4 linked regions of the Diceros bicornis minor genome follow. The protein of the gene in region 1 purifies or fractionates together with the protein of each later gene. This does not show direct contact. Links are inferred from orthologs where the notes say so. Each region holds a gene or a part of one and is shown on either strand. Other genes may lie near its edges.

What was found.
Region 2: the proteins of LRRK2 (region 1) and MYO1C purify together in Homo sapiens (affinity purification with mass spectrometry; 3 studies listed by BioGRID and IntAct, with this or other methods). This does not show direct contact. The link is inferred for Diceros bicornis minor from reciprocal best matches to the Homo sapiens genes LRRK2 and MYO1C.
Region 3: the proteins of LRRK2 (region 1) and BAG5 purify together in Homo sapiens (co-immunoprecipitation; 3 studies listed by BioGRID and IntAct, with this or other methods). This does not show direct contact. The link is inferred for Diceros bicornis minor from reciprocal best matches to the Homo sapiens genes LRRK2 and BAG5.
Region 4: the proteins of LRRK2 (region 1) and SLC25A6 purify together in Homo sapiens (co-immunoprecipitation; 3 studies listed by IntAct, with this or other methods). This does not show direct contact. The link is inferred for Diceros bicornis minor from reciprocal best matches to the Homo sapiens genes LRRK2 and SLC25A6.

The regions. Positions count from the first base shown.
Region 1 is NC_080756.1:28,440,846-28,448,204, reverse strand, and holds the start of LRRK2 (leucine-rich repeat serine/threonine-protein kinase 2), read left to right. Parts: upstream 1-4,347; 5' UTR 4,348-4,764; coding exon 4,765-4,918; intron 4,919-5,184; coding exon 5,185-5,270; intron 5,271-7,359. UniProt on the Homo sapiens protein: Serine/threonine-protein kinase which phosphorylates a broad range of proteins involved in multiple processes such as neuronal plasticity, innate immunity, autophagy, and vesicle trafficking.
Region 2 is NC_080757.1:16,228,928-16,236,372, reverse strand, and holds the start of MYO1C (unconventional myosin-Ic), read right to left. Parts: upstream 3,006-7,445; 5' UTR 2,828-3,005; coding exon 2,753-2,827; intron 1,968-2,752; exon of another isoform or gene 1,879-1,967; intron 1-1,878. Other genes in the region: INPP5K (inositol polyphosphate 5-phosphatase K), read right to left, coding at 6,294-6,353, 6,541-6,645, 6,814-6,897, 7,161-7,298.
Region 3 is NC_080763.1:48,214,805-48,222,367, forward strand, and holds the start of BAG5 (BAG family molecular chaperone regulator 5), read right to left. Parts: upstream 3,013-7,563; 5' UTR 2,700-3,012; intron 2,674-2,699; exon of another isoform or gene 2,212-2,673; intron 1,384-2,211; exon of another isoform or gene 1,309-1,383; intron 1,207-1,308; 5' UTR 1,179-1,206; coding exon 1-1,178. Other genes in the region: cytochrome c oxidase assembly factor 8, read left to right, coding at 3,109-3,231. UniProt on the Homo sapiens protein: Co-chaperone for HSP/HSP70 proteins. It functions as a nucleotide-exchange factor promoting the release of ADP from HSP70, thereby activating HSP70-mediated protein refolding.
Region 4 is NC_080781.1:1,084,644-1,091,798, reverse strand, and holds the start of SLC25A6 (ADP/ATP translocase 3), read left to right. Parts: upstream 1-4,155; 5' UTR 4,156-4,243; coding exon 4,244-4,354; intron 4,355-5,371; coding exon 5,372-5,858; intron 5,859-6,551; coding exon 6,552-6,692; intron 6,693-7,155. UniProt on the Homo sapiens protein: ADP:ATP antiporter that mediates import of ADP into the mitochondrial matrix for ATP synthesis, and export of ATP out to fuel the cell.

The sequences.
Region 1 (7,359 bases):
TTAGAATATTGATATCACAGTAGGATATATATCCTACTACAACTTTTTAAAAGCCAAGTATTATATTTTTTGCTATTCAGTCATGTTGATACATGGAGCTCTAGTTCATTAATTTTCACAGATTTATACAAGTCTATTATATGGATATATGCAATTTAAGTGTTGATGAATATTCAAGTGGTTTTCATTTTCAATATAAGCAAAAAATGTTGCACCGAGCATTTTTATATAAATTTCCCTATGCACATGTGAGAGTTTCTCCAAGGAATGTTTTTGGAGTGTAAGTGCTGGGTCATCAGATACATATATCTTCAGCTCTACTAGATATTGCCATACTGCTCTACAAAGTGACTATTCTGATTTACACTCCCACCAGTTTTGTATAAGTATTCTAGTTGCTCCACATCAAAGCCAATCATTGGTATCATCAAACTTTAAATTTTTGGTTAATCTGAGGGCTGTGAAATGGTATAGCATTATGGCTTTAATTTGTATTTCCCTGGTTACTAGCGGAGTTGAGCATCTTTTGATAGATTTAATGGCATTTCCTCTTCTGTAAATTGCCTTTTATATCTTTTGTTTATATATAAAATTAGACTATTTAGAGGCCAGCCCTGTGGCCAAGTGGTTACAATTCCACGTGCTTCGCTTTGGTGGCCTGGGGTCATGGGTTCGGATCCCGGGCGTGGACGTACTCCACTCATTAGCCATACTGTGGTGGTGACCCACATACCAAATAGAGGAAGACTGGCACAGATGTTAGCTCAGGGCTAATCTTCCTCAAGCGAAAAAAGAGGAAGACTGGCAACGGATGTTAACTCAGGGCCAATCTTCTTCAGAAAAAAAAAAATTAGACTATATTTTCCTCTATAATTTGTGATAGTTCTTTTTACATATTCTTATTCTTCTTTTGTGGGTTATATACGTTGCAAAAATATTCCAGCCTGCGGTCATCTTTTAACTTTGTTGATGGAGTCTCTTGTATGTTGAGTTTTAAATTTTAACTTATCTGAATTTAACAATCTTTTCCTTCATGGACTGTGATATTTATGTTTTGTCTTTCCCTACATGAAGGTCATAAAAAGGTCATTTTTCCCCCCAAAATTTTAGTTTCATTTTATATAAAAATATTCAATTCACATGGAATTTATTTTTTTATATGGTGTGAGGTAAAGGTATGATTTGATGTTTTTCCTACAATCATTGGTCTCAGATTCATTTATTACATAGTCCATTCTCTTCCCACTGATACACAATGCAACATTTCTCATATATATTTTCCATATATGTAAGGGTATGTTTCTGGGTTCTCTGTACTCTTTCACTGGTCATTTTGTATAGCTGTGCCAATAATATGCAGATAAATTTTTATAGCTTCATAGTAAGATTCAACACACTGCTTCATATGTTGGACAAGTTATGCCTGGCATAAGGACATCAGGCTGAAGGGATGGGTGGAGTCTGAAATCCAAATCCTGCTTTGGACACCATAGCACAGGGCTGTGTCTGCCTGGAAGGAGGGGCACATTTTTCTAATTCACAGAAAGACATTGTCAGACAATTTTTCCTCCTCTGGGAAATCGACAAAGGCTAGTACAGGCCCTGAATTAAGATCTAATTGGGCAATTTTCCCACTTCCTCCTTCTTCAAAAGTGTCTCGGTTGTTCTAGGTCCTTCGCTCTTGTTGAAAGCTATAAAAAAATCTTGCTGAGATTTTCATTAGACATGCATTGTTTTTTTATTACTTTGTGGAGAACTGGCATCTTTTTGATATTTAATCTTCTTGTTAATTGATATCATCTATCCATTTATTTATGCCTTGTTAATGCCTTTTAATACAGTTTAATAATTTCTTCACAAAGGTTTTAAAAATATTTTGTTAGATCTGGTCCCAAGTTTTCTCTTTCTTCCTCATTGTTGTTACTGTGTGCAGACACACACACATACAATTACATTTTATAACTGCATGTTACTGATGTTTAGGAACACAATTTTGTATAATTATGAACATACTTTTTTTATACTTGTACATTCACAGTGAATTTCCTGTTCAAAACTTTAGTCCTTTTTTCTCCTGGGGTATCTATGGAGTGTGTAGGTGTTGTTTCCCCCACACCCCACTGTGATCTGTAAGAACTTTTGAAAGATTAAGGCTAATTGTTTTTTTGTCATATATATTGCAATTTTCTTTTACTTTCTTTTACTTTTACTTTGCCATTTACTTTTTACTTTCATGTTTTTTCTTTGCAGGAAATTTAAATTTTTATGGAGTCACATGTACCAATCTTCTGTTGTTTTTTTCTTACTTTTTATGTTTCTTCATACCAACATTAAATAACTATCAATCTATATTTTCTTTTTAAGTTATTTTCATTTAACTTTTTAATCCATCTGGAATTTGTTTTGGTGTTTGCTGTAATTAGCAATGTCCATTTTATTTTTTTCTTCCCAGGAAGTTAGCCTAATGTTCCAGCACTATTTTATTCTCCACTGAACACTACCTCTATCATGAATTTGTGCCCGTAGCCTTCCTTTTCTGTCTTGTTAACTATCTGAAGAGTTAATAAGTCTTGGGATTTTAATCAATCAATTAAACATTTTTGAAAGCTAAGAGGATACTTTGCCCTACTACTGCAGTAGTTTGAGAGAATGCTCCCAACAGAGAATTCATGTTTCCACACCGCCTACCCCCAGTCTGGCTAATATAGAGTAGACAGTGAATAGGCAGTGGATGGGTGAAAGAACTGAGGAAAAGAGGAGATACCTTTTTACTTAGATTTAGTTTTCTTTGGACGGGAGCTAGGTTTTGATTTTTTGCAAGATAATAATCCAGTAGACAGAGAAGGAGAAACTGATGCAGAGGAATGGGAAGGAAGGCATGAAAGGGAACATTCCTAGGAATGTTTGAGATATCGATTGGTTAGTCAGAAGTTGAAACAAGTTCAGAAACCAGTTAGGAAGGATATTCCGCAGCTATGATAAAGATGACAGGGTTGAGAATTTTTTCTTTTGTTTTGTTTTCATTATGGAAAATTTTATGCAGAGGAACTAGTACCATAGACCACATGAACCCATCACCCATCTTCAACAATTATCAATTCAAAAGTTAGCATTGTTTTGTCTCTACCTCCACCCATTTCACCCCTTTCCCCAACACTGAATTACTTTGAAGCAAATCCTACCCATTCTATCATTTCAACTGTAAATATTTTAGCATGTGTCTGTAAAAGATAAAAAGTCTTTATGACAACAAAATATATTCACAATATCTAGGTCGAATTAGAATTGCTATCTTACTGACTTAATGTATTAAGGAAGCCTAGCTCATTTTGATTAAAGTGGTAGAGTGTAAAGAACCTTCAACTGGAGTTAAGAGATTCACCGGGGTTTGAGTTCTGGCTCTCAACCTTCCATCTGTGTGACTCCAACAATGCTCTTCGCTTAACTCCAAATCTCAATTTCCTCATTAGTAAAAGAAGGATATTGGTAGTTGTCTTATCCATTTCAGAATTGTCATCAGAATGAAATAATAGAAGTGAAAACAAACGATCTAAAATTGTGAACTACTAATTTCCTGTCCAGTCATCTCCTTTGTAAATGATCCCCAGGACAGATCATCTTAGGCAATAGATCGTCTTTGTCCAGCCTTGTCTACAGTGTTGCTTGCTTTGGTTTCTCTTCCTAAAAAACATTACTTTGGTACTTATTTTTTAACTTGAGGGTTATAGACGCTGCGACTCATAAGTAATTCTGAATACCAAGAGAACAATGCTTAGGCTTGTATCTTTCACCTTTTCATTTCATTTACGTTGTGTTTCTCTTAGTTTTAATAGCGCCAAGAACGAACTGATTGTTTTTTGGTGCGCCCCCATTATCAGGATCCTACCGAGTGCAAACTCAGATTTTCAAGTTAATTTGGTCAACAGAGCTTCAGATAACAGGGAACAATTTTTTATTTCCTCCTCTACAAAGAGCCACAGCAATCATGGAAAAACATTTAGCTGAGCACATTTTGATTGCTAATATCTCTCTCCATCCTTGAGGGGGAAATTACTCATCTCCCTATAGGGGGAACTCGAAAGAGAATGTTTTCCTAAAAGGGGCCAAGTGGGCGGCGTCCTCTCTTCCCAACGCCCTGATTTCCATTCTTAGACCTGGAGATAGGCGGCGGCTTTAATTTTTCTTCTTCCTAGGTCCCAGACCTTCCGCGCGGCTGAAGGTGCCCAGGCCGGCGGGTGGCGGCGGGCGGCGGGCCGGGCTGCAGACTGCGCGCCTCCTCCCGCCGCTGCAGGGCTCGGGGCCTGGGGCCGCGGCGGAGCCCGCGGAGTCAGTTTCTTCCTGCGCGACTCCCGGCCGCGCCGCCGCGGCGAGTGGGATCCGGTCCCGGGAGGCGGCGCCCGCCTGGGGTCCCGTCTCGGCCCGCGCAGGGACCCGCTCTCGCCGCGTGCGGACCGCCCACCGCGGTTCTGCACGGCGCCGTACCTCGGCCGAGCCTCTCGCAGGCCACTGAGCTCGTTTTGGGGGCCTGAGCGGGGGAGGAGGAAGCCGAGGAGGAGGGCCCGGGGACGGGGAGGGCAGCGCAGGGCGCGGAGCCGCCGCCTTCCTCATAAACAGGCGGGCGTGGGTGCCGAGGGGGCTGGCGGGCAGCGCTGGCCGCGGGCGGTGAGCTGTGCTCGGCCCGGAGCAGCGGCCGGCGCCCCTGCCCCTTCCCGGAGCGGCCGGCCTTGGTGCGGGAGGGGCGGCAGGTTTGGAGCAGGGTCCATCATGGCCAGTGGCAGCTGTCAGGGGTGCGTGGAGGAGGACGAGGAAGCTCTGAAGAAGTTGATAGTCAGGCTGAACAATGTCCAAGAGGGAAAACAGATAGAGACGCTGGTCCAAATTCTGGAGGATATGCTGGTGTTGACGTACGCCGACCACGGTAATCATTTCCAAGGAAACTGTTCCTTTATCCCCCTCCCCCCCGCCTCTGTTGCAAACTTTCTCCCCCGCACTCTGGAGCTGCACAAAGCCTGGACTTTTGAGAAGCCACCAACTCTATACTTCTTAGGGTAGAAGGGAGCTGAGAATTCTAGAAAGGTCTTGCGCTCACTTCTTTTGCTTTCTCCCCCCCCCCCTTTTCCGACTTAAAAGGAGGGCCGTGAGTCGTGACTTTGCTTCTTTTCCCTCACCCACTTTCTTTTCCAGCCTCCAAGATATTTCAAGGCAAAAATGTCCACGTGCCTCTGTTGATCGTCTTGGACTCGTATATGAGAGTCGCTAGCGTGCAGCAGGTAAAGGAGCTGTTTTCATTTCGCCCATTCCCCGATCACTTTGGAAATAGATGTTTTTCTGTCAGTGTTATATGCCCAGAGTTCTGGATTGTTTCTGAGATTTGGCTTGACAAACCGCTGACTGATTTTAAGACGGAAGCGTTGTCAAATCATTATCAAATGTTAACGGTGTGAAAGGGCCCACTATGTGCTCCCTAATTGTCTTAAAGAAGTAACTTTATACAATTAACTGACAAAATATGGATGGTGGTGAGAGGAATAATAATGGGTTGAGTTTTCCGTTATTGGCTATGAGTTCATCAGTGTTTAGATCAAATTATCTAAGACTCTTCCCAATATACAGCATGCCCTAGAGATGACAGCATTGTGAATAGTTTGGGAAAGGAGAACAGTTAACAATAATAAAATTAATAAAAATAAAATTAAGTAACTGGCAAACTCGCATAGGTTTCAGGGTTTTCTTTTTTTTTTTTTTTAATTTGAAGACAGATTTCTAGCCTTCTTTAGTTGTAGTATACCTTGTATTATCTAAAGAAAGTGATGTTTTATGATTCTTCTATAAGTTTAAATTTATACTTTTCAACTGTTTTCATATAAAATGAATGTAAAAGTGAAACATTTAGAATCTGCCTCATAGGAAACCCAGAAATTTGCTAAATTCTTAGATATGTTAAAAAGGGAGCCCTAAGATGATAATTAAGGATGATTTACAGTCAAAACAAGATTAGTGCCTATCGTGTTCACTTCCTTTGTAGATTTTGAGATTTAAAGAACTGAAATCAGTTCTGTCATTTGCATGTTAAGTCCTGAAGGGAAAGAGAGTTGAACTTTAAACTCTGTCAAAGTGCAGTCAGAAAGTCAATGTTTCTTAATATATGCTTGAGTGTCTAGACAGATGTAAAAATTATCTGGATCTCTAAATCTGTATCTATCTATCTTTGTCTTTATGCTTATCTCTGTAGCCAGCAATGTCTAGTTTGGGTGAACCATATACCTAGCTTCTTTTCTGGGAGTATATTTATATCTGGGATAAATGGTTACTTTTATTTTTCTTCAACTGAAATATTTCCCATTTGACTATTGATTTTTAGGGTGTTAACATGCAAAACCATGAGAAGATGAAGGCTTGATAAAGACAGTGTTCTTTTTAGCACCCAATGTCTGAATTTTGCCCGTGGAATATGAGTCACTTTTTCACACTGGCCCGTTGTGCTTGCTTCTCTCCACCCAAATCATCCCTTCTTACTTGCCTGTGCTTTTGTGTTCAAAAGTGCCTGCTCTGGCAGCCCCCATTCCCTGGACTCTGTGCTTGGTAGAATCACCCCTGCTTGATACCACTCAAAACATTTGGACCCTGGGTGGCTTTGATCTGCAGAGTCCAGAGGAGGCAGAGCTAGACTTGAGAATGCAGAGGAGCCTGGAACATAACCACTACCTAATTCTTCTTCGTTTTAGAAACTGCCCAGGCCTGGGCATGTTTGTCTGGAGTGGTTATGAATGTCACTCAGTATCTTTTCCCAGTGACTACCAGAGACAAAGTATGCAAGAAAATGAGGAATTGTCTTCTGATTTGGTAATTGAATGGAATAGAATAGTTTCAGCACCATATGTGTATTAGTCTGCAAAGAGTATTATGTAGCTTACATCATTTGATTCTCACTGGACTCTCACTGCCCTCTCAGATATCTCACTGGCTATTTTTTCCTTAGTAGGTAGCTCATTTAGGATCACAGAGCTAGGGACAGAGCCAGGACTCAAGTCTTCTCACGTCTTCCAAATCTCTTTCCATCATACAATTCCCTAGCTGCTGAATTCACAAGCTTTTCATTGCAAGTAAAAAGTGCAATGATTTGGTACAAATATTGTGGCCATGGTAGGCATAATGGCACTATCAATTTTAATTATCGGTGGTCTTATTAAAGGGATGAAGAAAGAGGTCTTTCTACTGATATTATAATACTCCATTTAAAAGAAAGTGGGTTTTTATCCTTCAAATTTCTTCATATTACTGATGTAATTAGTATAGATATTCTTTAATGCTTTATGTGTTGAATTAGCTGGAAGTGCTCAATTAAAAGCTTTTAATGAT
Region 2 (7,445 bases), on another chromosome or scaffold:
GCAGGGATGGGGCAGGCCCAGGAGACCTGGGTCATCCAGAGCCCTTTACCTAGTGTGGGCCAGGTGCACCCAAGCCTGACCTCTGGAGGAGAGGGGAGGGCAATGGGCAGCCTCAAATGTTCCCCCAGCCCAGGGCCACCCAGGCCTTGAGAGGGTATTCTGAAGACCCCCAGATCGCTGCTATAAGCTGATTTCCACAGAGGCAGCCTCATGACCTGTTGGGGCAGTGGAAAGAACCCTAGCCTCTCTCACCTGCAGCGCAGTGCTGGGTGCAGAACAGGTCCTCAATTTATCTTTGTCGAATATATCTTAGGTCTGGGCCCAGGCTGCCCCACCAAGGACTGTTCTAGACTCAAGGGAACCGTTGTGAGGGGCAATGGGGAGGAAAAGTGGGGCCTTAGGGGCTCTACCTAATTGCTCACAGGACCCCAGTCAGGGGCTGTACACTCTAGCTTCGGAGCCATGGGCCTTTGGCCTGCTAGACACTTCTGCCTGGGGGTCCAGCAGAAGTAAACAGAGCACCTTGCCCCCTATCCTTCTTGTTTAATATCCTGTAGGTAGAGAGAAGGGAGGCACCTCCAGCTAGTCATCACCACCTGACCTCAAAAGGCCTGTCCTGTCCCTCCACTCCTCACACCAAGAGTCAACACTCGCCAAACCCCCCACCCCCTGCTCCTCCATCACTGCTCCACTCCTGACCGGGCAGCAGCCTCCAAACTGGCCTCCCTGCCTTCCTCCTCCAATCCATTTCCCCACAGCAGCCTGTGGTATTTACAAATGCAAATCAATCAATTAACATCTCATGTTAATAGAGTGAAGGTTTATAGGGCACCGGTCCATGTGCCAAGCCCATGTGCCGAGCCTGTACTTCACACCCACTGCTTCTTGCCAGGCCCCTGAGTATAGACTCCAGCAGCCCCCTCTGTCCTCAGTTTACCCCCCTGCTCCTGCATTCTTGTGTGACCATAGGGGTGGCCCTCTCCAGTCCCTTCTCTCCCCATGCCTCCCTCACCACCACACAGAGCCAGGAGAAGCTGCTCCCACCCCTGCCACCAGCCACATGTGGCTCTCTAAGCTTCTTGCCTTTGCACCTGCAACTTCCTTGGCCCAGCGCACCCTCCCTCCTCCCCACCTGACTGACTCTTAGTCATCCTTGAAGACTCAGCTCAGGTATCACCTCCTCCAGAACCCCTTCCGACTATCCCCAACACACAGCCCCCTCCTTATCGCTTTGCGCTCTAATCGCCGGTTTTCTTGTGGGTCTCTCCCAGTAGCCTGCTCCCGCCCGGAGCGTACACCCAGTCCGGCACACAGTCGGGGCTCAATAACCCCTCGTAGACGCCTGCATAAATGAATGAATCACAGAGCCCGGGAGTGTGAGCAGGAGGCCGGAGCGCGCTGGGAGTTGCATAAGGCCCTGGGCCAGCCATTCATTCTCTCATTCATCTCGGAGGCCCCCATCTACCACACTCACGCCGAGGCGCGCAGAAGCCACTGGCGCGGCTGGGTCCGGGGGGCGGAGAAGGGGAAGGGGCGGGGCTCGGGCAGCTTGTGCGGAACCCAGAGGCAGAGCCTGGCTGGTGGAGGGGCCCAAAGGGCGCGCAGGGTGCCTGGGTCCCGGGACCCCAGCTGCTCCTTCCCGCCCTCACGTTACCCGCAAGTAATCTAAGTCTCTACCCGGCCTAGTTCCGGCGCCAGCGGGTCCTGGGACCACGTACGGCCCGGGCCGAGCCGACCCTCGGCCCCAGCGACCCCCGCCTCCCGCACGGTAGCTCGGCGCCTGGCCGCCTGCCCGTTGCCCCCATCCCACCCGCCAGCGGAGGCCTCTACGGGCCACGCGGCTGCTGGCCGCCCGGCGCCCGGGCCCCGTGTACCCACCGTCTCGGTTCTTCGCGTGCGTGGGCGGGGGCCAGGCTGGGCGGCGTGGCCGGCTCCCCAGTGCTCGGCCCTGGCACGCTCTCCCCGCCCAAGGCCCGCCCGGGGCCGGGCCGCTGCCTGTCGTCATCCCGGGCAGGGCCCAGGCCTCGGCGCGCGCGCGCGCGCGCGCTCCCTCCGGCCCCGCCCGGCCCTGGCGGCCCTGGCCCTGGCCCCGGCCCGCGTCCGCGGAGACTTGGTGCCGCACACTCCGCAACCAGCTCCTGGGACGAGGCGCGTCACTGTCACACACACACGCGCGCGCACCCCCCTTCCAGCCAAAGACCCGGCCCACTCGCTGCAGTGTTGGGTGGGTGGGTGCATCTGATGGCTTTCTCTCCCTCCTCATTCTAGGGCCCCTTTGCATCCCCAGAGCAAACCCGACCCTCCCCTGCGTGCCAGGCCGGGTCAGTTCTTGTCCCTTTGTGACTACCTCCCTTCACTCCCCCCTACCCCCACCCCGCTACTGCTCTGAGTTGGCCAGTCCCAGTTCTTTGGGCCAGACGGAGAAAGGCGAGACATTAACTGAGCCTGTACTATGCGCCTGGAGCGCATAGATCCTTTGATCTCAGAGCAGCCCTGTCACCAGTTCATAGCCCCCTGAGGATCAGGGAACCAGAGGAGAAGGGGTTCAAACTCAGATTCCTGCTTCGAAAAACCCTGCCCCTAGTGGTGCTTAAACCCTCACCCCTTCTTGTCCAATCTGTTCCGGTCCCACCAAGGATCAGAACCCCTCCCCACTGCTCACCACTTTCCTGAGGGGTTTGCTTAAGAGGGGCTACTGGGCCCTGGGGAGACACTGCCACCCTTCCTCCCAGCCCAGAGCATCCCAGCTTACAAGCTTGCAGGGTCTGTGGGGATGAACCACGCGGATGATCTCCCCGGTGGGTATCAGCTCCACTTGCAGCGCCATTCTGCCTGTGGATAGCCAGCGTGCAGAGCACTGGGGCCTCTGAGCAAAAGCTTGCCTGCCTGCTTGCCCACTGGCTCTGGCTGCTCCCGGAGCCAGGAATCTGGTCTCACGCCGGGATGGCCACTTGGTTCAGCTTCAACTCCAGCCCCAGGGGATGTGTCTGGTCCAGCTCCTCAGGACACAGCTGGAGCAGCCCAGGTCTGATTGGGAGGCCTCTTGGCCCAGTGGGTTGGGGCAGGAAGAGGAGGGGCTGAGGGATGGAGGAAATGCCTGTTGTCCCAGGTAACCAGAGGAGCTGATGCAGTGCAGCCACCGTGGGGGACCCTGGGCTCCAGGTCAAAGGGTAGGAGGCTTTTCCCCCCAGCAGCTCCATGGCTGGCCTCTCTCGCTGCCCACTCACTGGTGAAAGCTGGAGAGCACAGTGACCACTCCCCAAACCAGAACGCACATCCTGCCCTAAGCCAAGAGGATCCATCAATAGGCACTGCCCCTCCTGCATGCTCCCCAGCTTGCCTGCCTCCCACAGCAGCAAGTGAGCCCCTTGAGTTTGAGAGGCTAGGGCTGGTGGGGGATGGCCATGTTGGGCAGAGGGGTTTAGCTGGAGAGGCAGGGGACACTCTGAGGAAGCCCCTGTCCCACCCTCCTCTGGAGCCTCAAGCGCTTGGGAGGTTGGTCCCTGGGTTCCTTGGCTGTGGGCAGCCTTAGCTCTGTTCGCTTCTTGCTTTTCCATAGTACCCTCATGTGCCCCCTAACCAGCATGTTCCTGTTTTTCTGTCTTTATTGTTGCTAAATCACAGCTGACACTTTCCTGGCCTGGGACTGAGCCCTCTAGTCTCCAGCCATTCCTTATAGGAAGTGAGAAGGGGGAAGTGGATGAGGGAAAGCAACCTTTCCAGAGGGAGACACTGGCATAGGAGGGGCAGAGGCCAGTGGGCCTCTGCTGGTCTTGACAGCCCCTCGGGCAGGCATCTTCCCCCAGGCACCCTTCCCTTTCCTCCCCACAGCTTCCCCCGCCCAGGAAAGGCCAGCAAAGCTTCCTTCCTTCCTCCGGGAAGCACATCTATCCAAGGCAGGCTCATCCCCGGCAGCCACACAATGGCCCTTATCAGCCTCGGAGCCAGGCGCAGAGACCCAGCACACACGGAGTCTCACATATTTCCTGTTTCCACCCAGCGGGTCATGGCTGGGCCCAGAGCGGCCATATCCTGACTGGGGCCGAGAGGAGGGAGAGCACTCCCCCTTCCCCTTCCGCCTCTCAATCACTGCTGCACTCACCCCTCCCAGGCAAGGAGCGCCCTGCAACAGGAGGCGGGGTAGGGGTCTGTGAAGACTTAAGGGGGCAGGGGAGAGGTGGGCACGTGGAGGACAAAAATGCTCCACAGCAGGAGAAACGGGGGAGCCCTGGAGTCAGAAGCCCTGAGACCCAGGCCCAGGGCTACATTAATCAGAATGAGGAGGTAGGTATAGGATTGCTCTGTGTTTTTTGCAATTGTTCTCTCACAATAATCTTGTGAATAGGTTCATTATTTGTACTTTACAGACAACTGAGACTCCTATGTGGATAGAGATGGAACTGATTCAAACCTAGGTCTTGACCCCAGTCCTGTTTCTGGTCCTGCGTAACACCACAGCTGCCTGTGTAACTCCAGAGGGCTCATGCCACTTCTCTGAGATTTGGTTTCCCCATCTGCCAAACAAATGGTTGTGCACGTGAGAAGGAATGAGGTGGGCAAGTGCGAGGGCTCAGGGTTCCTCAGGTGTGTGTGTGTTGGGGACAGGGAGAGAGATTACAATGGGAACCTCGGGGTATGGGGATCTGGGGAGAGGCGGCACAGAGAGAAAAGATGGTGACATTTTTGGATAGCTTAACCCAGGACCAGTGGTCAAGACTAAGGTGTGAGAGAGTGACAGGTAAGGAGGGATGGACCAGTGAGAGCAGAGTAAGCACCTTTTCTGAGTTCCAAGAAACCCATTCTATTTAGCAATGGAATAAACTAAGTGCCCAACAGCATAGGTAGCATGCCCCAACTGGGCCAGGGACCCAGAGGGCCACCATCCCAGAACCTCATCTCATTCCTACCCAGGCAACATCTGTCACTCGCAGACACAGAAAGTCTAGTCTGGATCTACAGGGCCCTCGTCCTAGAGTCTAGCAACGGCCCATCACCATGTGCCCCCTCCCACCACCATCATGAAGGAGTCACAAACAAGTGTAAAAGCCATGTTTCTAATTATGCCCCAATGCAACAGACACAGAACACAGACAGCCACGGCCCTCTAAAGCCAAGGGGACAGTTCTAGATGGTACCCACAGCTCCCAGGGTGGAGTATGGAACGTACAGCAACTGGAGTGGCCCTGTCTCAGATCATAGGATGGGCATGACAGTCACAGAGCGGGCTCCCTGAGGTGTCTTCTCCTGCGAGAAGGGCTGTTGAGTCACCAGTGGCTGGAGGCAAGTGGTGGGAGTGGGGACAGACCTTGTCCACGCAGCACCTGGAGAATGCTCTCTGAAGACCCCCAGTGCCAGATTCTCCAAAATGTCTTGATTCTGGCTCTCCTCTCTGCCTGCCCCCACCTCTAGGTCCCAGAGCAGTCTAGATAGGTTTCTGGCCAATGACTGCAGGCAAGGGTACAGGCAGATGAGCTCAGCTGGGCAAGGACTATCTTGGAAAAGCCTGTGGCCACAGCTCCTCTACCACCTGGCCAACCCTTCACAAGAGGGCAGGTTGGGGGCATGGAGCCTGACCCACCAGCAGAAGTGAACCTGGGTCCAATTCTCTGTTCAGGCCCTGGAACTTTCTGGTTCATACTCCATGGGGGCGAGGGGGTGCTGGCAGAAGGACGCTCATCAACCTGTCCACAACCCTACCAAAGAGCCTGGGTGGAGGGACCCCTCATCCTGCCCACTTAGTCATACTGCTTCTGCTGAAAGCAAGGATCCCAGACCCTCTGCCCATCCCTCAGGGGGACAGGCAACAAAATGCCAAGACTCCTGGAACCCAGTGCTGCTTGTGCTAACCAGTCTATGGAGCCTGTACAAATGTATCTCCCCCTCCCAGGCAGCCTGAGGCCCAGGATGGCGTGACAAGAATGCAGGCCTGTGCCAGATGGGGCATGTGCCTGGCAGGCCTGCTTGGGCAGGACTAGAAGTGTGTGGGGGGAAAATCAAAAAATGAGATGCAGGCTGGAGGGTCTTTCCCACATCTGGTGGACTGTCCACAAGTCTTCACTGTTGACAAACTAGCTGGTTTCACTCACATCTCAGTACCAAAAACCTGTATTTAAGAGGCTGATTCTAGAGATCTAGATTGGAGAGAGCAAAGGAGTGTGCTAGAGCTCCCCCTGGGAGGTGGAGGATACTTGCTCCCTCTTCAGAGGGCTGGGCTGGGTCCCCAATGCTCCTGGCAGTGGTAGGCAGAGCTGGCTGCCAGCTCTGGCCTCCGCCCTGGATTCACTCGTCCCAGCTCAGAACTGTGGTTGGGCTTCATCCAGTAGATCCTCCCCAAAGAGCGAGCGAGGCCAGATCTGCAGGAATAAAGCAGGTGGTGAGCGGAAGGGAGAAGAGCAGGCTCTCCTCCGTGTCATCACTCCATTCCCCAACTGATGCGGCTCCACCATGTGGGCTGGCTCCTAGGCCTGTGGCCTCGGTGAACTGATGATGGGCTCACATCATCTGTGATACCCTTCCCCTGACCCCACCAGCATCTCCTACCTTGAAGGGTTTGCTTATCCCCACCACAGAATGTAGACTGTTGCTATAGTAACAGAGGAGAAACTGATCCTCAGTCTCTGGGATATCGCTGATGTCCATGTATACCTGGAGCGGGGGATGGACAGGAATGGGGTCAGCTCCATGGTCCTGGGCCCCACCCAGCTCTCAATGACAAGTTATCCAGCTCTCTATTCCTTCCAGAAGACAGGAGTGCTCGGGCAAGCCCACCTGCTGGAAATGTGGAATACCTATCTCAGGAAGGGAGGCAGGTACCTGGTTCAGCCCGACGCTGAAGGAGATCTGGTTGTCCCCGACCCAGACATAGGACACGTAGTCATTAATGTGGCGCAGTCCCACCTGTGGGAGGGAGGGTCGGGGGGTCAGTGGTCATGGAGGACGTGGGACCTACGGCAAATCTGAAGGAGAGGGTCGTCTCATTCCTAGGGCTGGCCATCATATTGGATGCCTCTCTCTCCTTCACTGCCAGCCTCTAGGTGGGCAAGGACCCCTGGGGTGGACAAGGGTGAGTTCAGTCTCTGTGCCCAGTTCCCGTGAGCCCTCAGGATGGATCAATCAGAGGGGTGTGGCTCAGGGACTCCCTGCCTCGCCTGCCACATCACCTTATACAGTCCAATCCAGTCCCAGGGGCTGCTGAGGAAGCCTGGGGTCAAGGAGTAGCTGATCAACGCGTCCTTCTCCATGGTCCACAAGCCCTCGGGCATCAGGGTGATCAGTGGTGCAGATACCAATGGCTTCAGCTATACACAGGGGTGGGAAGGGGGTTGAAATTCCATAGCATCATTCCCTTCTCTGAGGTGAATGTCTTTACTGTACCCTTCCAATAGGTCAGGGTCAGTGGGGGGAGGAGGGGCACCCAGCGGGGTGGGCACAGAACTCCACTAGGC
Region 3 (7,563 bases), on another chromosome or scaffold:
TTATCAGTCCGATTTCCATCAAATGACAGAACTTCTCCCTGGATCTCTGACAAGCTCCCAAGGATGCTCCAGACGGCCTTATGTGATGGGTGCTCCTCACCAACAAACAGCTTTCTCTTCTCGAGGGCCTCCTTCAAGTCAATGTAGGTGATCAGAGTTTGCACTTCAATCACGGCTCTTCTCCTGGCTTCCCGGATGCAGGGGTTTTTTTCAAGACTTACCTCATCCAACTGTCCAATCAAACCCTGCAATTCTGTTTTGGAGCTCAGGTACAATTCAGAAGGATTTTGTGCTTGAAGAAGCTCATTTTTAATTTCCCTCATTCTCTTGAGGACCTTTTCTATTTTTAAAATGGAATGATTCTGTCTCAGGTCAAATGCGTGAGTAGTGCCTGCTTCCTCCTCTAAATCCAAATATTTCAATAATTTGTTGATATCTTCTACTACCTCCCTTCGGTAGTTTCTGATTTCTGTACGCCCGCACACATCTAAAGCATCCAGATCAGCCATCAGCCCTGAGAGCACACAAGACAAGTGCCTGCAAGTGTCGTTACTGTTCACCCCCATCAGGAGTGCAATCAGAGTGCCTCTGGCCTTGTTCACTTCACACATCACAGAGTTAATTTTGGCAACGGAAGGATGCGCATCCTCGGAAAGCGGCAGGGAAGGCTGCTTTTTCACGCAGTCTTCGATAATCTCTTGCACTGCACAGATTTTGGTTAAAGTGTGATACCTTGCTTTCCGCAAGGAGACCTTCCCTCCAGTTTTAACATGTGTCAGCCTCAGAATGATATCTTGGATGCCTTCTTCAAATTCATCTGTCACACAGTTGCCTCCACTATAAAATGGCACAATCTTCTCTTCCACCAGGGACTGGGCTTCTTTAAAAATGTTCTGTATTTCAATCCGGTGTGGGTGGTTTGCATTCTGCTCCAACTCTTTGAGAAGACGCTCTGTCTCTTGTGCTGCCCTCTTCCTAGCTTGCTGAATGTCTCCTTTTCCTTCTGTATCTACAGAGTCTATTTCAAAAAGTTGTTTTGTTAGAAACCTCTCCAGTTTCTTGTAATTCTTGTCATCTGACAGGCCACTGAAGCCAATTACTTGCTGTTCTATACTTTTCACTTCCTTTTGGATTTCCTGAAGCCTACTAATAGAAGGATGTTGGTTGCCCATATCCATACTTCTGTTGTGTTCAGTTTCACAAGCACTGAAAGATGACAAGAATGATAACCGATTACATCACAAAGTCTCTGCAAAACGGTAACTGTATATTAATTCACTCTAAAATTCTCATTTTAAAAAGATATACCTAAGAAAAAGGGCTTGTTATTATTGTAATCCAAATGACAGTCATACTCAAGCAGTGATTAACCAACTCCCTCTCCTGAAAATAATATAAACACAGCAGCGATTAAGAACAGACAGGGGTTACTGCAGCGTCCAAAACGACCTGGTGCTCTGGGCCTGTGAATTTCAAGTTTCTTCAAGTGTACAAGACGGTAGCATGTGTCTTCATAAGTACAGCATGAAGTTGAACTATCACCTTGGAAAGAGCACAACTATCTTAGCTGCTGACACTGGAAGCTGTTTTTCTGGCACCAGCAGGGCACCTTTGTGGAATGTGAAACAGTAGCTCTTCTAACCTTCCAAACGATACAGTACCACCTAAGCACCCCACCTGGCCAAAGAGCTATGCCTAGTTTCCAGAAAAAGTAACTCAAAGCGAAACAAATACCAGTGGTTCCCAGACACCCCCCAAAGTCCCCCTTTCTACATTCTTCTCCATCCCTTTATGCACTTCTACAAAGCTACCCTGTTTCTCATCTCACCCTTTTAGTACCTCACAAATCTTCTCTACAGAGGTATGGAATTCCACAGGAAACGCGACTGGGATTACATTAAAGGCACCATCTTGGGCTTTGGAGGCCCGAGTACCTCCCCATGCCTATCATGCTCCCCTCCTCCCCCAATACATCCCACAAAAATGTGACAACTATGAATAATTCATTCACTAGCCTCCCATTAAGAGTCCAGAATGACTTAACGCATTTTTTCCCTGCTCTTGGGTTTCTACCAAACAGCTCACTGGAAGGGGCTGGATAATCAATTGAAACCAATCCCTTGTGGGTGTTCGAGCCAAGAACGTGCCTTTGGAGGACAGGTTGCCTCCCTCCTCCCCTCCCCTCCTCACCCTTCCCTCCCAGCACTTTACCCGGAAGAGGTCTGAGCTGATTTGGTCTTGGCTTCCCGTAGGTGAGGTGGCGAGATGGAAGATCAGCCCTTTACGGGGTGCAGCACCGGAGATGGGCCCCAAGCAGCATCGCTCTCACCCCTCCCGGCTAGATCTGAACGGGGCAGCCGGTGAAGGGGCCGGCGGTGGCGGCGGCAGCTACCGGCCGCTGCGGCCGCTCTGGGCGTCTCGCCCGGGCCCCCACTACGCGCCCGCCGGCCTGACCTCACAATGGCCCGCGGGGAAGGGGGCGGCTGGCCCGGAGGGAGGGGAGCCCGGCCCGTAGGGAAGGGAGCCCGGCCCCGCCGGCCGGCGGCCCCATCGGACCCAGGGCGTGGGGGCGGCGCCGACGCCCGTCCGGGCAGAGCCGGGTGAGGCGCCAGAGCACAGGTCGCCCGCGGATGCCCGCGCCGAGGGGAGGCCGCCCCCGCGGAGGGAGGGGGCCCGCGCAGCCGCTGCGCCGCGCTCACCTGTGCCGCCCGCGCCATCGCGCGCTCCGCCGCCGACACCCCGCGACTCCGCAGCTCCCGCCGTCGCCCGAGCCCGGCAGCCCCGCCCCCGGGCCGAACGCCCTCCGCCCTTGGAAAGCGTCCTCTGGCGTCCGCGCCGCACCTCGACCCGCGCCGAGCCCGCCGCTAGCCGCCTTGCGCGGCAGTCTGTAATGGCCGCGACAGTGGACCAGCCGCCGGGTCCCCGTCCGCGCCGCCCCGCTGCCCCCGCAGCCCGTTACACGCAGGGAAAGAGCACTGTCGGCCGCGCCGCTCCCCACTCTTTCTCTTTCTCTCTCTCACACACTCTGGCTTTGCGACCATGCCGTAAGGCAGCCCTTCGCGCCGTCGCGACTCTGCCGTGCGTCGCGGGAGCCGGGAGGCGTGGGCCATGGCTGCTTTGAGGCCGGGGTGGAGGACAGCTCTCTCTCCTTTCTGCCGCGCCTTCACTGGCCCCCGCTATCAGCTCGCCCCCGAGCGCGGCGCTGAGCGCAGGGATGCGGCACCGAGCCGGGTAAGCGGGGTTTCCGGAGAGGTTGGGCCGAGAGGGGTGACCGCAAGGGGCGGTAGACCCGGGCCGCGCCCCTCAGGGGCACCTGCGTGCCCCGCTGCGGCGTCAGCCGAGTTCCCCGGGAGCAGCGTCCCCGAGCCGGCCTGGGCCTGGCGCAGAGCTGCGCACGCGCCCTGGGGGCACAGGGGCCTGAGGAGGGGACAGGGGTATGGAGAGTGGGGAGGCCCCGGGGCCACCAAGTTTCCTACGTCTGCCCCCTTGGTCTGATGGAACTGAGGGGGCTGTTGACAGAACTTTTGCTAGTAGAGCAGAGTCATCTAGTAAGTTTGTACGTACCTTATATCTTCTCGAGGATCCTTCTTATATTTGAAGAGCTCTTGAGGTGCACAGCGTGTATTTATTTTTTGGCTTCGTTGAGATTATTAGTGCTTTTTTTTCAAGCGATGTCTAACTTTATCATTGTATCTTGTAGGACTTCACGTTGAAGGGTTTTTCTTGTTTGGAAACTGTGTGCATATACGCACGTTACTGGCCGAAGATCCACAAAGATTAATGTCTGTAGCAGCAAAGAATGGCAAGCAGCTCTTATAAATTGCGTTTCTGTGGGGAAGGATGCTTTGTTTAAGGGAGTCCTAGGCCTGGATTCCAACTGACAGGAAAATGTTGACTAGCAGTGTGGAACGGGTTGCAGATAAAATATTTAAACAAAGCATACAAATACTAACACTTCACTTTGTCAACAGGCTAACGAGGGAGGCTGGAAAACCTGGTTTAAAGAGTAATTAAAGAAGGATGAAAAAGAGCCAGTTAAGAATTTCAAAATGTGCCTGCCTGTAAATTTTCATTTCTTTTAGTCTGTTGCTATTATGTTTTTATAAATGCGGCTTTGAAGTTCTGTCTAGTTTACAGTTTAGACAGGAAGTTACCAAGACAACTGGTCACTCAGGTCTCTGGCTCAGTTCCCTGTTACAGTGGCCAAAGTCCTGTCTTCTGTTCCTAGAGCATAGAAATCCACGCACATCTCAGTCTTTGGGCAGGAGGATACTCAACAGGTATCTGAAGATGCTCTGGGAGGCAAACTGAACATCAGCCAACTGTCTCCAGAGTAAGGACTTAACCTAGCTTATTTTGTTAAAAGTAAAGAACAGCACCCAAAAAAAAGAACAGCACCCAAACAAGGCTTTCTCTGTTGTCATACAGCCTTTCGTTAAAGTAAATCTTACCGTGGGTCTGATCCTCAAGATGAGACCTCTCTGCCTTTTGTGGTCCAAGTCACGAGGAAGCCAGTGCTGCGCACCTGTTGGACTGCCTAGACCTGTGAAGGTGATGAGTGTGATGAGGCTGAAGAGTGGAGCAGCTGATCCATGAATCACACCTTGCCCAATTCTAGCATCGTGACTTGTGTTGTTTTTTAGGATGTGTGCCCCATTATGCTAGATATCGTATGGAACATAAAAGAACAGTTCCTGCCTCAGGGCGGTTTGCGTTTCCTGGGTTTGGTCCCAACCTTGTGTGCTTCCTGGGTACAGGGCTGGTTCTCCAGGTAATTAAATTCCTGCAGCACAGAGAGATTGTTGTCTTCAGACTTCGGTTTTGAATATTAGGTCTTCTTAAAAGTAGCAGGTCGTAAACCTTTTGCTTTGTTTATCTAAATAGATATATTTTAATCCACTATGTCTAGTTCACTCTACATATTTTTCATTAATTCTTTGTCCTTTACTTTCTGACCTTTTAGGACCTACGCAATTTACGCCCATCTCTAATCTCTGGGTACCAGTTTTTAATAGAAAAATATTATAGAACTTAGATTTAGGCACTGCTTTTCCTTCTAAACTCAACTTAAAAATTCAGCTCTTAAATGTTCTCCAGCTATTTCATACCTGCTTATTCCTTATCTGTGTAGTTTACATCATTGGTTCTTGAACTTGTCTGCACATTTGGAATCATTTGGAATACTTGAAAGAATACTGGGGCCCACCCGCAGAAGTTCCGATGTGATTGGTCTGGGATGTGGCTTGGGCATCAGGATATTTATTCATTTATTTTCTTGGTTTGTCTAGTTCCTTGGCCCCAGGTTTAGTGAGGTGTAACATCAGGATTTTAAGGGCAAGTCTAATAAGCTCACAAGTTGGAGAACCAGTGGTTATATTATGTGCATTAACATTTGCTTGTAGTCCTGAATTACATTAACATTTATAGTAATAGTTAACATTTATTGAGCACTTGCATGCGCTGTTCTAAGAGTTTTACATATTTTCACTTATTTAATCCTCACAATTCTGTGAAGTAGGTGCTTTTATCATCCCCATATTACAAATGAGGAAACTTAGGCACAGTAAGATTGAACAATTTCCTCAAGGTTGTAATGCTTGCACATAAGGAATATACATGTTATGGTTACTCTATCCAGAGGATGATAAATAACAATTTTTCTTCTATTAATTTTTGGATCAAAAAGAACACAGAAACAGGCCCTCAGCAGGGAGAGGTAATATTTACAAGTAACAAATAATGGAACTACTGGTGTCATCTTTTGCTTACATTTTCATTAAGTAGAATGATCTTCAAACCCCCAAGTGTAGATTCAGAATAAACATCATAAGGAGGAAGTTGAAACTCAAGATAAATGAGAAACTGGTGAGAGGTCTAGTCATAGGATTTTAAAGTTAATTTGGATATTTCTAGTATTTACAAGGCTTTCCATAAATAGTTGGAAAAAATTAAAAGCTGGGGCGGGAGGACTTTAAAAACCATGTGGTTTAACTCCATTATCAGAAAGATGAGGAAACTGGAACCCAGAGAGGTAAAGAGACTTGTCTGATGTTACATGGCAGAGTAAGGATTAAAACTGAGTTCTTTCCATTCTCAGTCCAGTGTTCTAACGTTTCCAAATGCTTTTTCTGGGCCGGCCCAGTGGCGTAGTGGTTAAGTGTGCACGCTCCACTGTTGCTGCCCGGGGTTCGCAGGTTCGGATCCCAGGCGCGCACTGATGCATCGCTTGTCAAGCCATGCTGTGGCGGCATCCCATATAAGGTAGAGGAAGATGGGCACGGATGTTATCCCAGGGCCAATCTTCCTCAACAAAAAGAGGAGGCTTGGCAACAGATGTTAGCTCAGGGCTGGTCTTCCTCACACACACACACACACACACAAAAAAAATGCTTTTTCTTCATCTAGTGAAATGAGAATTACAATAATTTATTGATTTTCTTTTTTTGTTACTTATGGGAAATTTAAAACATGTACAAAGATAGAAGAATATAAAGAATTGCTATGCATCCAATACCCTGCTTCTACAGTTATCCACTTCTGGCTGTTTATTTCAACTTTACCCCCATCCAGTCCGTCTTCCCAGATAATTTTTTGGCAAATATCAGACTTCGTATTTCTTTTTTTTTTTTTTTTTTATAAGGAAGATCAGCCCTGAGCTAACATCCATGCCAATCCTCCTCTTTTTGCTGAGGAAGACTGGCCCTGAGCTAACACCTATTGCCAATCCTCCTCCTTTTTTTTCTCTTTTTCTCCCCAAAGCCCCAGTAGATAGTTGTATGTCATAGTTGCACGTCCTTCTAGTTGCTGTATGTGGGACGCTGCCTCAGCATGGCCAGACAAGCGGTGTATCGGTGTGCGAACCCAGGCCGCCAGTAGTGGAGCGTGCACACTTAACCACTAAGCCATGGGGCCGGCCCCCAGACATCATGTTTCATCTGTAAATATTTCATTATCCTTAAAAGATATGGACTTTAAAATATACATATATATATATAAACATAATACCAAGGTCACACCTAAAAATATTATGAAAATTCCTTAATTCCAGCAAAGGTCCAGTGTTCAAATTTCTTTGATTGTCTTAGAAACGTCGTGAATGTTTTCTTTTACAATTTGTTTGTGTCAGGATCCAGATAAGTTCTACACATTGCGATTGATGATTTTTTTTAATCTTTTTTTTTTCTTGCTGAGGAAGATTCGCCCTGAGCTAATACCTGTTGTCAATCTTCCTCTTTTTTTGCTTGAGGGAGATTGGCCCTGAGCTAACATCTGTGCCAGTCTTCCTCTATTTTGTATGTAGGTCACCGCCATAGCATGGCTGGTGAGTGGTGTAGGCCCATGCCCAGGATCCGAACCCGTGAACCCCAGGCTGCCGAAGTGAAGCACGTGGAACTTAACCACTATGCCACAGGGTGGCCCCTGATTGATTTTTTTTTAGTTCTCTTTTAATCTATAGGTTTTGATTCCATCTTCTTTCTTTTTTTAAGTAATTTATTTGTTGGGGTTGGGGGAAGGATGTGTCCGTTAGAATTTTCCATGGTCTGGATTTTGCTGATTGCATTC
Region 4 (7,155 bases), on another chromosome or scaffold:
ATGTGTCTCCCCGGGAGGCAGGACGTGCAGCATGGATCACGCAGGGGCTGAGCTGTCCGGTGTGGTGCCTGCAGCTCACCCGTGTGAGAGCAAAGCAGAGACGCTCACGGCCCCTCTGTCCTTGTCTCCCAGGTGGACCTGCAGAGCGAGTGGCCAGGAGAGCCGAGCGCCTCACCGGCCCCGCCCCGCCTCCCCGGGCTGGTGCACGGCTGCTGTGCTGGGTGACAATGACCCGGGCACCTTGGCCACCGCAGTCAGCCTCCTTCCTTTCCCGGGGGAACAGGCTGAGTCCTTCAGGTGCCCCTGTGGTCCCCGTGTTCAGCCAGGCTGAGCAGAAACCCGGGGCGTCCCCAGTGGGAACAGCGACTCAGGTCCAGGGCACATCGCACACCTGCTCTGCAGCCCTCGGGGTGCCCGGAGCTGTCTCAAGGTCACTGGGTTTCTCAGAAGCAACCAAGCGTCCGTCTCAAGGTCACCCGGTTTGTGCCTCTAACCAGAGGTGCCAGCTCCCCTGCCCGGGGCACCCGAGCCCCCCCAGCCCTGGATGCAGGGAGCCGGACGGGCTGGGGGCAGCGTGGCTGTGCAGTCAGCCCCGACCCCCGGACCCCAGGAGTGGCCGACCCTGAAGTCCCACACCCATGACTGTGCCCTTGAACCAAGGACCCACCCACCCGAGGGAGACCCCCGGGCCTGACAGTGAGGGCCTGATGACACGTGAAAGCCGACGGAGGGTCCGTGGGGTCCCCAGACCGCCCACTCCCCCTGTCTCTGCTGGACTTGCAAAGAAGTGAGAAAATATGAGTCCTCCACGACCCGTGTTTGCATTTATTAGAACTAACACCCAAAAACAGTGCTTTCAGGAGATGGTGGGAGAGAAAGTGAGTGTGTGTGTGGGCCCCCATACAGGTGTTTATTCTTTAGGAGACAAGATTTCAAGCTTGGAATTCTGGGCTGGGCAGCCTGACCGGACCCCCGCCCTCCAGGCAGAATTCATTCATTCCAAAAATATTTCAGCACACACTGCATACGGTACAGTCTAAATGCATTACTGGCTGCAACATCAGGGGTCGGGGATGGGGGAAGGAGCTAGGACAAGAGACCGTCAGGACCACACCCGTGTCCACAGCGCCCCGGCCCCTCCCCTGTCCCCGTGGGTCCTCATCTTTCGCCCTCCCGGTGCAGCCTCATGACACCCCACTAGACCACGTCACACAACGCAGGACTGGAAGGAACTGCCTGTCGACTAGGACAGACTCCCCGGGCCCAGCTCACAGCACGTACCCCCCAAATCCCTCCTCACCTCGATGACTCACCCCCAGGGGTCAGCTGAAACCCTGAATCACCTCCCCCGTTTCTTTCAATCACCCACCCCCTTCTCAGATGCTCTGGGGTGCAGATTCAATCAGATCACCTGCTGGCCCAGCCACAGCTCATCTCTCACTCCGTCCGAGCGCCACCGAGGGCTGGGTCTTGTCTCCTCGCTGCTGGGTCTTGGAACTTAAACCCTTGGAGGAGACGCTCCCCACCTCCGCTTCCCACTCACCCCACCTCTCCCTTTCCAGGCCCAGGTGCACAGTCTACCTGGGCTCTCCCCTCCCAGGTATACGGAGATCTCGGATTCCGGCGTGCACAGCCCCGCCACCCTCCCAAATCAGCCCTAGTGGGGCAGGGGAGCCATGACTCGCGCGCGCACGAGTTGCCCACGGGCAACACTTTCTACAGAACACATTCTGAGCCCCAGTCAGCGATAACAGGAAGAGACCACGTTCATTCATTCACTCATTCACTTGTTCATTCGAGAAGCATTCCCCCAGCACCGTCCTGAGGCCAGGCACAGGCGGCCAGGGACCCCCGGGCGCTCAGAGGAACCAACACACATCATACTGGGCTGAGCGGTGGGGTGGCAGCCAGGAATGCAGGCGGAGCTCGGGGAGGGGACGTCCCCACGCCTGGGGCAGGGGAGCGGGTCACTGAGTTAACGGCCCCCCCAGCACGGGAGGAATGTTCCAGTGTCCCATGACACAGGCTCTGAGACAGAAACACTGGTTCCAGGGCCTCACCCGCAGCCCCGGCCTGAGCAGATGCCAACCAGCTGGATCCTGAAGGAGCAGCTTCAGCTGGCTGGCCCCCGCTAGCCCCGTGACAAGCCTCGCCAGGGTCCCTCCCCATCACTGGGGTCCCTCCCGGCCCAGCGAGCTGATCCCGGCAACAAATGAACAAGAGGAGATGCTTTTCTCCTCTGAGACACGGACCCCTGAGCAGACATCTCGTCCCCCCACACCCCACGGCCGCCCTCTGTCCTCCACTCCAGAGCCCCATGGGGGCTGCGGGCGTGGACCTCCAGGGACTTTCTCTGCCCCTCTGTCCCGGTGAAGCCTCAAGAACATGCCAGAACCTCCAAGGCCCTTCCAACAGCAATGCCCCCAGGGCCAAGACGCTGACACTCCTCCCTCCCCCACAGCTAGACCACCCTCTGCACCTGGGCAGCCCCAGGCACTGCCCGTCCCCTGCTTCTCCCTGGAGGTCAAGACCGGACTCAGGAAGCCATGGTCAAGGACACGGGAGACTGGGGAAATCACCGGCTCCCAGTGCCCAAGGCTCTTCTGGGTGCTTCCCAGGCCTCCACCCACCCGTGAACCCATTGCCAGGGGGGTTTTACCTGCTGGTGGGGACGCAGGAGACCAAAAAGAAGCAAAGGGGGCAGGGAGAAAAATGAGAAAGGGAGGGAAGAAGACAGAGACAAACAGCGGGAGAAAAGAAACGGGATTCTGGCTCCCCGGTTGCTACTGAAGAGCTATTTGGTGCTCCTTACACCGTGTTCAGTTCGCGACGGTTACGACCTGTATCACTTAGTTACAATTCACTAAAAAGTCTGCAACATTTCAAAACACCTCGGCCTCGGGAGCGTCCCTGTGCATGTCTGTGTGTGCACGAGCATGTGTGCAAATGCATGTGTGTACACGCGTGCATGAACTTGTGTGCACGTGTGAGGGTGTGTATACGTGTGCATGAAGTGTGCATGTGCGCGGGAGTGAGCGTGCGCACGCGTGGCGTGTATGCACGAGCATAAGCGTGAGTGCATGCGTGTGAGTGTGAGCATGTGCCGGGCAGCACACGCCCTCCTGCCCCTCCCGGAGCCCCCACGTCGCAGCGCCCGGAGCGCCACCCGGAGTCCCGCCATGGGGTCAGGGTTCCGGGGCCCCCGCGGGAGCTGGGGTGGTCCCGGGGGGCTCGCGCAGGCCCCGCGGACGGATAGGAAGAGGGGCCGGGGTCTCCCGGGCAGGGGGCGAGCACGGCCTGGAGAGCCGGGCCGCGGGGGCACGTCTCGGGGGGAGCGAGTGTAGGGGGTAGGAGCGCCCTGGGGGTCGAGGGTCCGGGGGAGGGGGGCTCGGCCCCCTGCTCTGGCCCTGCGGGTCACGGCCGGGGTCCGGGGGTCAGCGGGGCGAACGCGGAGGTCACGACCACGGCTCGGGGGTCCGCGGAGCAAGCCCGGGGGGTCACGGCCGGGATCCGGGCTCAGCGGGGCGAAACCGGAGGTCACGGCCAGGGCTCGGGGGTCGGCGGGGCCAGCCCGGGGGTCACGGCCGAGGTCCGGGGGTCAGCGGGGCGAAACCAGAGGTCACGGCCAGGGCTCGGGGGTCGGCGGGGCCAGCCCGGGGGGTCACGGCCGGGATCCGAGATCAGCGGGGCGAAACCGGAAGTCACGGCCAGGGCTCGGGGGTTCGCGGGGCCAGCCCGGGGGTCACGGCCGAGGTCCGGGGGTCTGCGAGGCGAGCCCGGTGGTCCGCCGGCCTCCCCTACCCACCGCCGCCGTCTGTCGCCCTCGCGCGGGCCCGGCTTGACCTTGACAAGGTCACGGCGTCCGCCAAGCCCCCGACCCACAGGGCGCATGGGCGGGGCCCGGCTCCCGACATGCCTCGCGGCGCGGAGCGCGGAAGAGGCGGGGCGTAGTCGGCGCCACAGCCAATGGGCACGGCGCGCGGGTGTGCGGGGCGGGGCGCGGCGCGGCTCCCGGCAGCCTGCGGGGGCGCGGGATCCGGGAAGGGGAGGGGCGTCGGCGCGCGGCGCAGCCAATGGGCGCGGCGGGCGGGGGCGGGGGCGGGGCGTCGGCACCTTAGCGGCTGCGCGCTGGCCGCCCCGTCCTTTCGGTCCCGGCGGCGGCAGGGCTGAGCCAGCGGCGGCTACCCACGGCTCTCCGCGTCCCCGTCCGCTCTCCGCCCGCTGCGCCGCGCGCCCCGCCACCATGACGGAACAGGCCCTCTCCTTCGCCAAGGACTTCCTGGCCGGAGGCATCGCCGCCGCCATCTCCAAGACGGCGGTGGCCCCGATCGAGCGGGTCAAGCTGCTGCTGCAGGTGCGGGCGGCCTGCGGACGCGGGGGCCAGGGCCTGGGCGCGGCGGAAGCCGGCCGGGCCGGCCACGGGCACCGCTCCGGCGGGCGGCCGGGCACCGGAAGTGGGGCGCCGCGCCGCTTTGTCCGCGCGCCTCCGGCTTCCGGGGGCGGGCCGGGCGCGCGTCACGTGGGCGCTGCCGCATGGGCGGGGGTGGAGCCGCGGGCGCGCACGCGCTCTCCGCGTCGTGGACGCCTGCGCGTGCGCTTGGAGTCTGGCGTGCCGGGATGCTGCGGCGCTGGCCGAAGGGCGCATGCGCGCCTGCTGGCCGCGTGGACAGACTCTTTGGTGTGGGGGGGGCGGTGCCTTGGGCGCGCCACGGGGTTCCTGCTAACGCCCTTTGGCGTTGGACGTCGGTTCTTGCTCCCCCTTTTATACTCCGTGTTCTGAACCAGAATAAACTATCATTGTGTGTTGTTACAAATGTTGCAAGCTGCTGGAAATGTATCGTTCTGGTGGCAGCATTTGTTGCCTTAGAAATGTATGGCTCTGATGGCAACATTGTTGCCTTAGAAAATGGATTGGTCTGATGGCAACAAGATGGATCGCTCTGATGGCATCATTGTTGCCTTACAAAATGGATCGCTCTGATGGCAACATTGTTGCCTTACAAATGGATCGTTCTGGTGGCAACATTGTTGCCTTAGAAATGGATCGTTTCTGGTGGCAACATTGTTGCCTTAGAAATGTATGGCTCTGATGGCAACATTGTTGCCTTACAAATGGATCGTTCTGGTGGCAACATTGTTACCTTAGAAAATGGTTTGCGCTGATAGCAACGATGTTGCCATGTCTGTTGGCAACACTGTTGCAGCGACAAACAGTTACCGAGTTAAAAGAACTGGTGTTTCCAGATGTGAGGTCTCTGGGCAATTCGAAGTCCGCATGCACGAGCTAGTCTTTGGAGCGGACATCTTCAGTGGGGGTCGTGGTGGGTGTTAGAGAAAGGCCCCCGTGTGACCCGCCCCCATCGCCCCTCAGGTGCAGCACGCCAGTAAGCAGATCGCGGCTGACAAGCAGTACAAGGGCATCGTGGACTGCATCGTGCGCATCCCCCGGGAGCAGGGCATCCTGTCCTTCTGGAGGGGCAACCTGGCCAACGTCATCCGCTACTTCCCCACGCAAGCCCTCAACTTCGCCTTCAAGGACAAGTACAAGCAGATCTTCCTGGGCGGCGTGGACAAGCACACTCAGTTCTGGAGGTATTTCGCCGGCAACCTGGCCTCTGGGGGGGCGGCCGGAGCCACCTCTCTCTGCTTCGTCTACCCCCTGGATTTCGCCCGGACCCGCCTGGCGGCCGACGTGGGGAAGTCGGCCACGGAGCGGGAGTTCAAAGGCCTGGGGGACTGTCTGGTGAAGATCACCAAGTCTGACGGCGTCCGGGGCCTGTACCAGGGCTTCAACGTCTCCGTGCAGGGCATCATCATCTACCGGGCCGCCTACTTTGGCGTGTACGACACGGCCAAGGGTAAGTGGGTTCTCCCGGGCTGCTGACACGGCGCCGCTGGCCGGGGGGGCTTCAGCAGCTGACACTCATGTTTTCCCCGTTCTGGAGGCTGGAGTCTGAGACCCAGACGTGGGCAGGGCTGGTTTCTCCTGAGGCCTCTCTCCTTGGCACGTAGACACCCGTTTTCTTTCTGTGTTTTCACGTGGTCGTCCCCCTGTGCATGTACATTGTTGATGTCTATATGTCTTAATTTTGCCTTCTTGTAAGGATGTGAGTCTTATTGAAATAAGGTTGTGCTATATCATTTCATTTTATCCTGATTATTTCTGTAGAAAATCCGGTATTCAGATACAGTTCTGTTCTGAGATCTTGGGGGTTGGCAATTCACTGTGATTTTTTGAGGGGGCACAGTTCACCTGTGAAAGTAAGCCCCCCCGTCAGTGAGGGCCCAGGCCTGCTGGCACCTCTACAGCAGAACGGCCTCAGGTGTGGCATGTCCACTGTCCGAGCCTCGTGCATCCGCTGCTCTGGAGAGGCCACTCCCAGGTGCTCTGCTGGCCCCTGGGCCAGTCCCACTGGAGCTTGCAGGCGGCTTCCCCCTGTAGCTGACCCCACTGTGACCTCTCCAATGTCGCCTGGTCCCGGGAGCTCCGTGTGGAGCCAGGGGGCGGCAGAGTGCAGCTGTGGGGCCTAATGCTGGTGGTGACCCTGCAGGCATGCTCCCCGACCCCAAGAATACCCACATCGTGGTGAGCTGGATGATCGCCCAGATGGTGACGGCTGTGGCGGGCGTGGTCTCCTACCCCTTCGACACCGTGCGGCGACGGATGATGATGCAATCGGGGCGCAAAGGAGGTATCTTCTCTCGGGGCTGGGAGGGGGCTGGGCAGCGGGAGGTCAGAGACGTTCTCGTAGGGCCTCGTGGCCTCAGCCTGTGGGATTCTGGGGCCATCGGATAAGGAGTTTCCCAAGGTGGCCTGGCTTAACAGGAGGCTCTGGTCGATGGCAGTGACCCATGTCCAGGCAACACTGGATCCGGTTCCAACAGCCTCTTTTCTGGCCTTGCCTGCAGACTTGTTCATGCCCGTGTCCTGGGTCTGCCTCCCTTAACTGTCTCTGGGGCGTCCACGGGCCCTGAGTGGACCAGGAGTTGGAGGTGGGGTTCTGTGGAGGAGTTCTGTGTGTTTCATCCCCACCCCCCAGCAGTAGGCCCAGTGGGGCTGTGAGCAGGGGCACTGGGCATCCAGAGCCTCCTTTCCCGCGGTTCTGACTCCAAGTTGCCCGGATGGTGGCATCCGAGGATTAGTCTCCCTACCGT